Linked DNA regions of Oryzias latipes. The protein of the gene in region 1 binds, or shares a complex with, the protein of each later gene. Links are inferred from orthologs where the notes say so. Each region holds a gene or a part of one and is shown on either strand. Other genes may lie near its edges.

The links. Proteins that work in one complex are often made in the same cells at the same time.
Region 2: the proteins of rnaseh2a (region 1) and rnaseh2c are in contact, whole or in part, in a crystal structure (PDB 3PUF), measured with the Homo sapiens proteins. The link is inferred for Oryzias latipes from reciprocal best matches to the Homo sapiens genes RNASEH2A and RNASEH2C. Residues at the interface, in NP_006388.2 of Homo sapiens: Thr11, Asn99, Ser102, Thr103, Leu106, Gly107, Arg108, Val109, Val196, Glu197, Lys198, Leu199, Glu225, Pro226, Val227, Phe228, Gly229, Phe230, Pro231, Gln232, Phe236, Leu245, Ala249, Glu250, Asp251, Val252, Ile253, Trp254, Glu255, Asp256; in NP_115569.2 of Homo sapiens: Pro33, Cys34, Glu35, Val36, Ala37, Val38, Ala42, Pro43, Val44, Gly45, Arg46, Phe47, Phe48, Pro50, Ala51, Arg53, Ser62, Phe63, Arg64, Gly65, Arg66, Cys67, Leu68, Leu134, Glu135, Thr136, Lys143, Gly146, Ala147, Thr149.

Annotation. Positions count from the first base shown.
Region 1 is NC_019859.2:10,610,998-10,614,446, reverse strand, and holds the end of rnaseh2a (ribonuclease H2 subunit A), read left to right. Parts: intron 1-709; coding exon 710-847; intron 848-1,378; coding exon 1,379-1,466; intron 1,467-1,571; coding exon 1,572-1,695; intron 1,696-2,657; coding exon 2,658-2,814; 3' UTR 2,815-2,911; downstream 2,912-3,449. UniProt on the Homo sapiens protein: Catalytic subunit of RNase HII, an endonuclease that specifically degrades the RNA of RNA:DNA hybrids. Participates in DNA replication, possibly by mediating the removal of lagging-strand Okazaki fragment RNA primers during DNA replication.
Region 2 is NC_019868.2:12,026,821-12,030,882, reverse strand, and holds rnaseh2c (ribonuclease H2 subunit C), read right to left. Parts: upstream 2,886-4,062; 5' UTR 2,772-2,885; intron 1,803-2,771; coding exon 1,649-1,802; intron 1,367-1,648; coding exon 1,254-1,366; intron 1,122-1,253; coding exon 1,002-1,121; intron 640-1,001; coding exon 616-639; 3' UTR 402-615; downstream 1-401.

The DNA of each region.
Region 1 (3,449 bases):
CAAATTTCTTTATACATGTCCTCGTCAGAAAAAAATGCTACAAGAACATGTAAAGAACACCATTTTCATCGGAGTCTGTGTTTAAAGTAGGGCTATACAACAATAATCTGTATATGTTTTGAAGATATTCATATCAATCTGACATAGTTCACATACTGTAAAATTGTAAACAGGATAAGCTTCAACAAAAATATGCAGATCAATAACCTTGTAAAGGCCCTAAATTGGCTCATTGCAAAAATGAATGTTCTGCCTCTTCTGGAGGGTGTTTCCGTTTCGCCACCGTTACACTTTATTTTTGAAAATTGCAGCAAAAAACTGCATTAGACCGCAAATAGTTACTTAAAAAAGGTTTAAGTTTAAAGAGTTTGAAAAATTCCTGCCTGTGAGTTTATACAGCTGTTAGCTATTAGCTGTCCTATGGGAAATTCCATCATATGTTAGCATCAAGCAAGCAGACTATGGGTTTTCACAAAAGGAAAGGCATAAAAGATCGATTTCTACGTTTAGGGATCAATTATTAATTTATTTATCTCGATTTTATCAACCCAGCCCCACTTTAAAGCACTTACGCTTTGTGTTTTTGTCAGGTTTGGTTTTTTTCTTTTGCGACATTGTCACTTATTTTGTGGTAGATGTGCTTCCAGTCACTCTTCTTCTTCTCCACCCTCACTTGCTCCACCCCTCCTCTGTCTTGTCCGGTCTGCAGATCTACGTGGACACAGTTGGTCCGGCAGAGAAGTACGAGGAGAAACTTTCACAGCGGTTTCCTGGTATTGAGGTCACCGTTAGACCAAAAGCCGACTCCCTCTTCCCCGTCGTCAGTGCGGCCAGTATCTGTGCAAAGGTGAAAGGTCGATTAATCTTGTGTGTCGCATCTACCTGTTTGAAGTCAAATTTGAAACAAACGTACAGAAATTCATCATTTTGATTTCAAACACACTTTTAAAATGTCAACTTGAAGCAAAATGACAAAACCGCTTTTGTCTGTCAGATTTTTGGTTATTTAAAAGATGACCACATGTGTGAAAGGTTTATAGGTTTAGGCTAAACTTTTTCCATTTCTTCCAGTTTACATGATAGTTCCTGAGGGTTCAGAATACATTTTAGATGCTGATCACAACCTTGTTTTTGTTAAAAGATTGTATTTTCTCCTGCAAGAAGTTTCTGGATGGTCTTTACTTTCACTAAATCCAGGATGAGAAGCAGAGCTTTAAAATTTCAGATTCTCAATTTGCTGGATCAGTTGAGCTTAAAATGTTTTATCCAGATGAAACTTTTTCACTTCTTAATTATTTTCAGTGTGTTTGTTTCTGCTTTAATGTCCGGTCTGATTCGATTTAAAAAAATTGCTATTTTGTCACCAAAAAATGGTCAGGTTGCCAGGGACCGCGTTGTAAAAGGCTGGAAGTTTGCAGAAGATTTAGGAGACGTGGATGCAGATTATGGGTCTGGATATCCTAACGGTAACAGCAATGCGGGTCACAGGCCTTTTTTTTTTTTAAATCAGCATGAAAAATAGAAAGAATTGATAATCTGGTTTTGAGATTTCCTGTGTCCTGTCTATTCAGACCCAAAGACCAAAGCGTGGCTGCTGAAGTACCTGGACCCCGTGTTCGGGTATCCGCAGTTTGTGCGATTCAGCTGGAGTACAGCCCAAACTCTGCTGGATAGCAAGGCTGTGACGGTTCACTGGTAAACTCCTCCTCACCTTTGGCCTTTTTGTTCTCAGGTCTTTCAAGTCGACCAGAAGCTTCTAGAAATGATCAACCTGATTGAAATGATTAAACGTGTGCATTTAAATGCACTCTAAGGGAGTGGTCTCTAACCTATTTGTCTGACCTATCTAATGTCAGACAATATTTTCACGGTACAGTCTGTACCAGGCTGACGTCGACGTTTCCTTTGACCTTTAAGGGTAAAGTTTGTCTTCTTCCTCTCTAAAATATCCACAGCTGTATTTTTACACTAGATTTCATGTAGGAACCATTAAAACGTGATTTAGATTTTCTTAAACACATGGCTGAACACATAAGGTAAGATAAAAAAAATTCAACACCAACTTCAGCCTTTGAATACAAAAGTGGTCAAAAACACGGATATTTAATAGATATAATTAGAAACGTGAATCCATCTTTATTATCACCGTCCTCGTAACATTTGATAGTATTATTATGGTTTTTGGGAACAACTGTTGCAATAAATCCATATTTGGAGTAAAGACGCCTGATTTTTGTCTGTTGAATCCAGCTTCTGTTTCCTCACTGGCTCTTTTCTGCAAAAAGAAACGTTCTAAATACCTTAATTTTTTTATAACTTTGCTAACTTGAGGGTTTCAATTTAGCAGTCGATGCGGTCGCTTTGAGACACGTGACCGAGCAACTTGACGTGTCAAGAGCCAGTCGGATGGCGTGAGGAGTTTTTCCCGAAACAAAACTAACATCAGAATCGGATTATAAATGAGACAGGAAAAAAAAATAGGGTGTGGTTGTTTTTTTTCTGTGACGTGGTCCCAACTGTCTCACAGACTGGTACCGGCCCAGGGGGACCGCTGCTTCAAACCAGTGTGTAAAAAGCTCACTCCCGATGTCTGAAGCTCATGTGAGCTCAGGGTCTAACCTCCGTGTGACTGATGACCTTGTTGATTCCGTCCTCAGGGATGACGATGAAGAGGACGGGGAGAAGGCGGCCAAGCGGCTGAACAACAAGTCCATGCTGTCGTTCTTCAGCGCATCAGCTGGAAGTGACGACCAAAGCCGCCAAACGCACCGTTTCTTCACCGACAGGAGGCTGAGGGGCCTGAGCAGTCTCTAAACGCACTGTGACTAGTTTCCCTTTTTTTTTCTCCCTTCTTTTTTGCAATAAATTGTTCACAACTTGGAACAACAAATGCATCCCAGAAATTTTTGAACAAAAAACAGCTTCACAGCAAAGGTTGGTAGTTTTAATTCCACATCTGTCCCCCTAAGAAAATGTAAAATCGACTCAGGAGAAGCTTAACACTAAAAACAGGCTTTGTAGCTGACAATTTTTACATTTAATTAAAAGAAAAACACCCTGGTTTCTACAGCCACACAAACAAATTTTCCAATTCCTCAACACTTAGAGGTAAAAGTTTGTTTTTTTCTCCTTTTGGTTTAGAAAACTCCTCAGCTATAATGACACAAAAGGAGTATAAGGTCTGATGGTTTTTACTGCATAGCATAAAAAAAAAAAACCTTCAACTGCATCACTTTTAGTCCCAAAACGGCCAAAAGCGACCATCATCCAGATGTCAGAACAGTCTAGTTGAGATGGATCTTCATCTCCTTCGGTGTCCGCAGGCTTTTGTTCCTTGAAGACACTTTACACACGACATAACAAATACTGCATTTTACTAATAAAAAAAAACAATCCTGATGCTAATGTTCTTACAAAAATATATTCCTCCTTAGTTGCCGGGGTTGAAC
Region 2 (4,062 bases), on another chromosome or scaffold:
GTAATTATACTGCAGGTTAGACTCTAGCAACCTCCTGAACCCAACAGGAGCAAAGCGGTTTTGGAAAGTGGATGGATGGAATTTCTTTTTACTAAATTCCAAATAGTTCCTTCATAATGACTCCCCTCATGGTTTACATGTATCCAGGCTGTTTCTTTTTCTTTCAATTTTTGTTCTCAAACTTTTTGACAGAACCACAGTGTCAATAGTTTCCATGTTGTAGGCTTCGTTCTGTGAAATGTGTCAAGTCAAAGCCAATCATTTTTCATCTTATAGGACTTTGTGTTTATGACACAATGTTACAGTAATGCTTTCATGGCTACCAGTGTTATCTTGTGAATAAACGCCGTCCAGTTAAACATGTAAAAGTTAGTTGTGTTACAGAGGATCAAACATTTCACTTTTGCAAGTCTTTACGTTTTTTATTTATGTACAAACAAACACAAACCTCATTCAGGTATCATTTCGTTAACACTGCTCTATGTAACTGATCGCTCTGCCATAGCAGAGCGTTTTATAAGGTTGGTGGTTGAAAAACATGTGGGATAAAAGGTGCATTTCACATGTCAATATGACATTTGTCTGCCGGCCCATTAAAATAGTATTTCCATCACGTCACTCGTCTATTGGCTCGTGTATCTGGAAAAAAGACAAAGAATCAGCAAATGCAAGTGATCCTCCAGTTGGACAGAAAATGAGAAACAAAAAAACATGAGTTAAATTTGATATATTTACTAAAATGATTACATTTTATTTAAAATGTTAATGTTTGCTAAATATATTTGTGTACTCATGATTGAAGTCTAAAGCAGCATGTGTGCCCTAGAAGATATTTACAGAAAAACTCGCTGGGACTGATTTTGAGCATAAAAAAAGAGGAAAACTAAAAAAACATTTCACTAGAATGCATTTTCTTTAGTTTGTTTTTGATCACAGTGATTTATTGTAAGGAGCAGATTGGTATAACTATAGATTTGAGGTCAACTGCGACATGTTCTTACCGCCTCAGCAAGTTCCGGCCAATCCATGGCCATCACCACAGTGTCATCAGAGGTTGGAGGATTGTCCAGATTCCAGTAGGTCAGTTTATCAAACACAGAGGAGACTCTAACTATCCTGTCCTGAGAGATACAAAGTCATTGAAGCATCAGAATCGTTAGACCTATGCTTCATGCCACAGCATGAAAAAACATTTTTCAGCTTGTGACAGTATTCCTTTTTTAGTTCTGAAACATGTCATGGGAGGTGCTTACCTCCTGGTCAGAGCCAGGCTTGTTGGTGTCTTTAAGTACCAGGCCTGTGTATCCTGCTGGACAGCAGATCTCCTGACCTTTCAGCCCGCGTCCTCTGAATGAGACGGCCTTGACTGTTATAAGAAAGTCCATTATATTTACAATGCTAAATGCAGCTATTTACGGTATTTGCTGTTTTAAAATCCCACAATCACTCATTGTAAAAAATACATAAAAATCAGAAAACAATATTGCGCAAGATAGTTTTCTGCAAACCAGTAAAAATTGCTACTGGACATAATTTTGGTGTCATTTCTCTTTGTTTTGCAATCCTGTCGTGGCTTTGCTAGTGCCCCTTACTTCAGGAGTGTTTACAGGTCTTAGAGGTTTTAGATTTCAGACAAAATTCCAAGTACCTCCTTTGTGATCTTTCATGGTTGCAGTAAAGTACTGTGAGACCTGGGCAGGCCCATTGTGTTCAATCTCACAAGGGAGGAGATGGACCGGGACTCGCTCTGCCTGTCCCACAGGAGACACGTGGAGATGAGTGACGCTGGAGTGACAGGACATCTTGCAGCAACGTAACAAGAAAGAAAAAAAGACATATTTATGCATCCACTCAAAATACCTTTATTAGTAACCTTTACCTTCTTTTTCTACAATCATTAACAATTACACGGGCATCTATTTAAAAGCTATAAGCTTTGAAAATATTATCACATTAAAATAAACTTGCCACAGCAAGTCGTAGTTAATGTTATACCGCCTTATTTGTTTACATTTCTGCTACATTTTTTTTTTAATTATTGTTTTTATATTATACCATTTTCTCATATGTTTACTGCTACAGTAACACACAAATTTCCCCGGTGTGGGATAAATTATGTACTTCTGATTCTAAGAGGGTAGTTTAATGTCAGATTTTGCAGGGTTTTTATATCATTTCACTTTATTTCCTTCATTATGACTTATTTTATCTCTAATGAATAGTGTCTGCTTAGTCAAGTACCATTTGCATTTTTAAAACATAAATAATTAAAAATTATTTAATGAATGAAATTAATTTACATAAAGAAATGATCAATCAAGATGCACCTCTTCTTGTACAGTATCTATAACCTCCTAATTAGCTGATAAAATCCTGGTAAATTGCTCTAAAAATTTAATTCATTAAGATTTAGAGTATTATTTGATGTATTTAAAGCCTTTACAACCATTTTGCCTTAATTTAAGACCATAGTTGTTTTACCTTATTTCGACCATTAAGTTCATACTTATTAAGTATATATTTAATTATTACGGGAAAATATGATATACGCACTTAAATTTAGCAGTAAAAAAATGCGCGTGCTCTTAAATTAAATATGTGTGAAGCAGTGTTTTTGGAGAAGTGTGTTTGAACCTTTGTGTCTAAAGCTTTTCACCAATACATTTAATCGAACAGTATTCGACGCTCCTGCAGTTAAACGCTTTTAATAACAGTGACTGTTTGCAGCATTTAATCCGGAGTGGACAAAGAAACGATAAGATTACCAGTACCTTTATGGCGACTGTATTGCATATAAGAGTGTGACATGAAAAGTTGATCTTCCGGGTAGGTTTAGGGAGCCGTTCGTGATTGGACGGTGAATGTCACTTCTTCTACGCTGAATTCTGTTTTGGCGGGTTTTTTCTCCTTTGCGAACAGATGTCTCCCCCTGGTGGTTACTGTTCTGCTCTACTTCAGCTGTTTTGTTTTAATGCTTTGCCTCGTGTTTTCGCCTTCAGACTTGATATTTGAATTCATTCATATCAAACGTTCAATAATTTGCGTGTTTAATATCTTATATAACATAAAACTGTTGTTTAAAACTATTCTGACTTATTTCCAAGGCCTTTAATTTAAGTTTGAAAAATCAATAAAATCTGTTTCATTGTATTCTTTTTGGTGTATTTTCTTACGACTAGTTTAACTGGCATGCAGAACTATAAAAACATACAATTAAATACTCAAATTAATAGAAAAATGTCATTTAGGAGTTTGAAAAATCTAAACATCACAAATATTGTGTTCTATTTTAAAATATTGGAGCCATCCAGTCATACAGTTTTGAGCCAGACGCCAGTTCAGACAAGGAAAACAAAGACGTATGTGTATCAAGTTGTTTACAAATGGATCCATCAGAAAGGAGCAGAGCAGGGAGCCAGTGACCTGCCAAGTGTAGCTTTTACATTCCAACTAGAAGTTTTCCAATGGTAATTTTTGTCTGATCCTGATGCGCAAAAAATTAAATAAGACAACTCAGAAATGTAATTTTGAGCTTAGATTTCTTTATTAATGTATTCTTTAATGAGAGATTTGCTACAAGACCATTTAATTGAAGCAAAGTTTACTCAACTATTAGATGGGGAGAAGGGAAAATCCATGTTTGCTGCTAGAATTTTCCTTTTTTGACTCTTCAGCTGTAAAATGTCCACCTGATCACAAAGACGTTTGAACATAAAACACTTACACGGATGCTCTGGTGGTTCATAAATGAAAAGGAAAGTATACAATGATGAACTTCTCTGAGATGTTTAATAAAAAAAATGTTATTGGTTGATTTGTTGATTAGATTGGATGATTATCAGTACCTGTTTTGTCCTGACAGGGTCATGGGCCCCTGGAGCCTATTCCAGCCACCATGGGATGAAGACAACCAGGTCAGCTTACCAGTCTTTTACACATGCCCTTAAAAAGACCAAAAAAAACAAAAACTCACTGCTCAAATCTACACAGGAACATTTCATATAGACACGTTTTTTTATAAATAAAATTTAAATATCTCTTTTCTGGAAATGTATTTCTGGC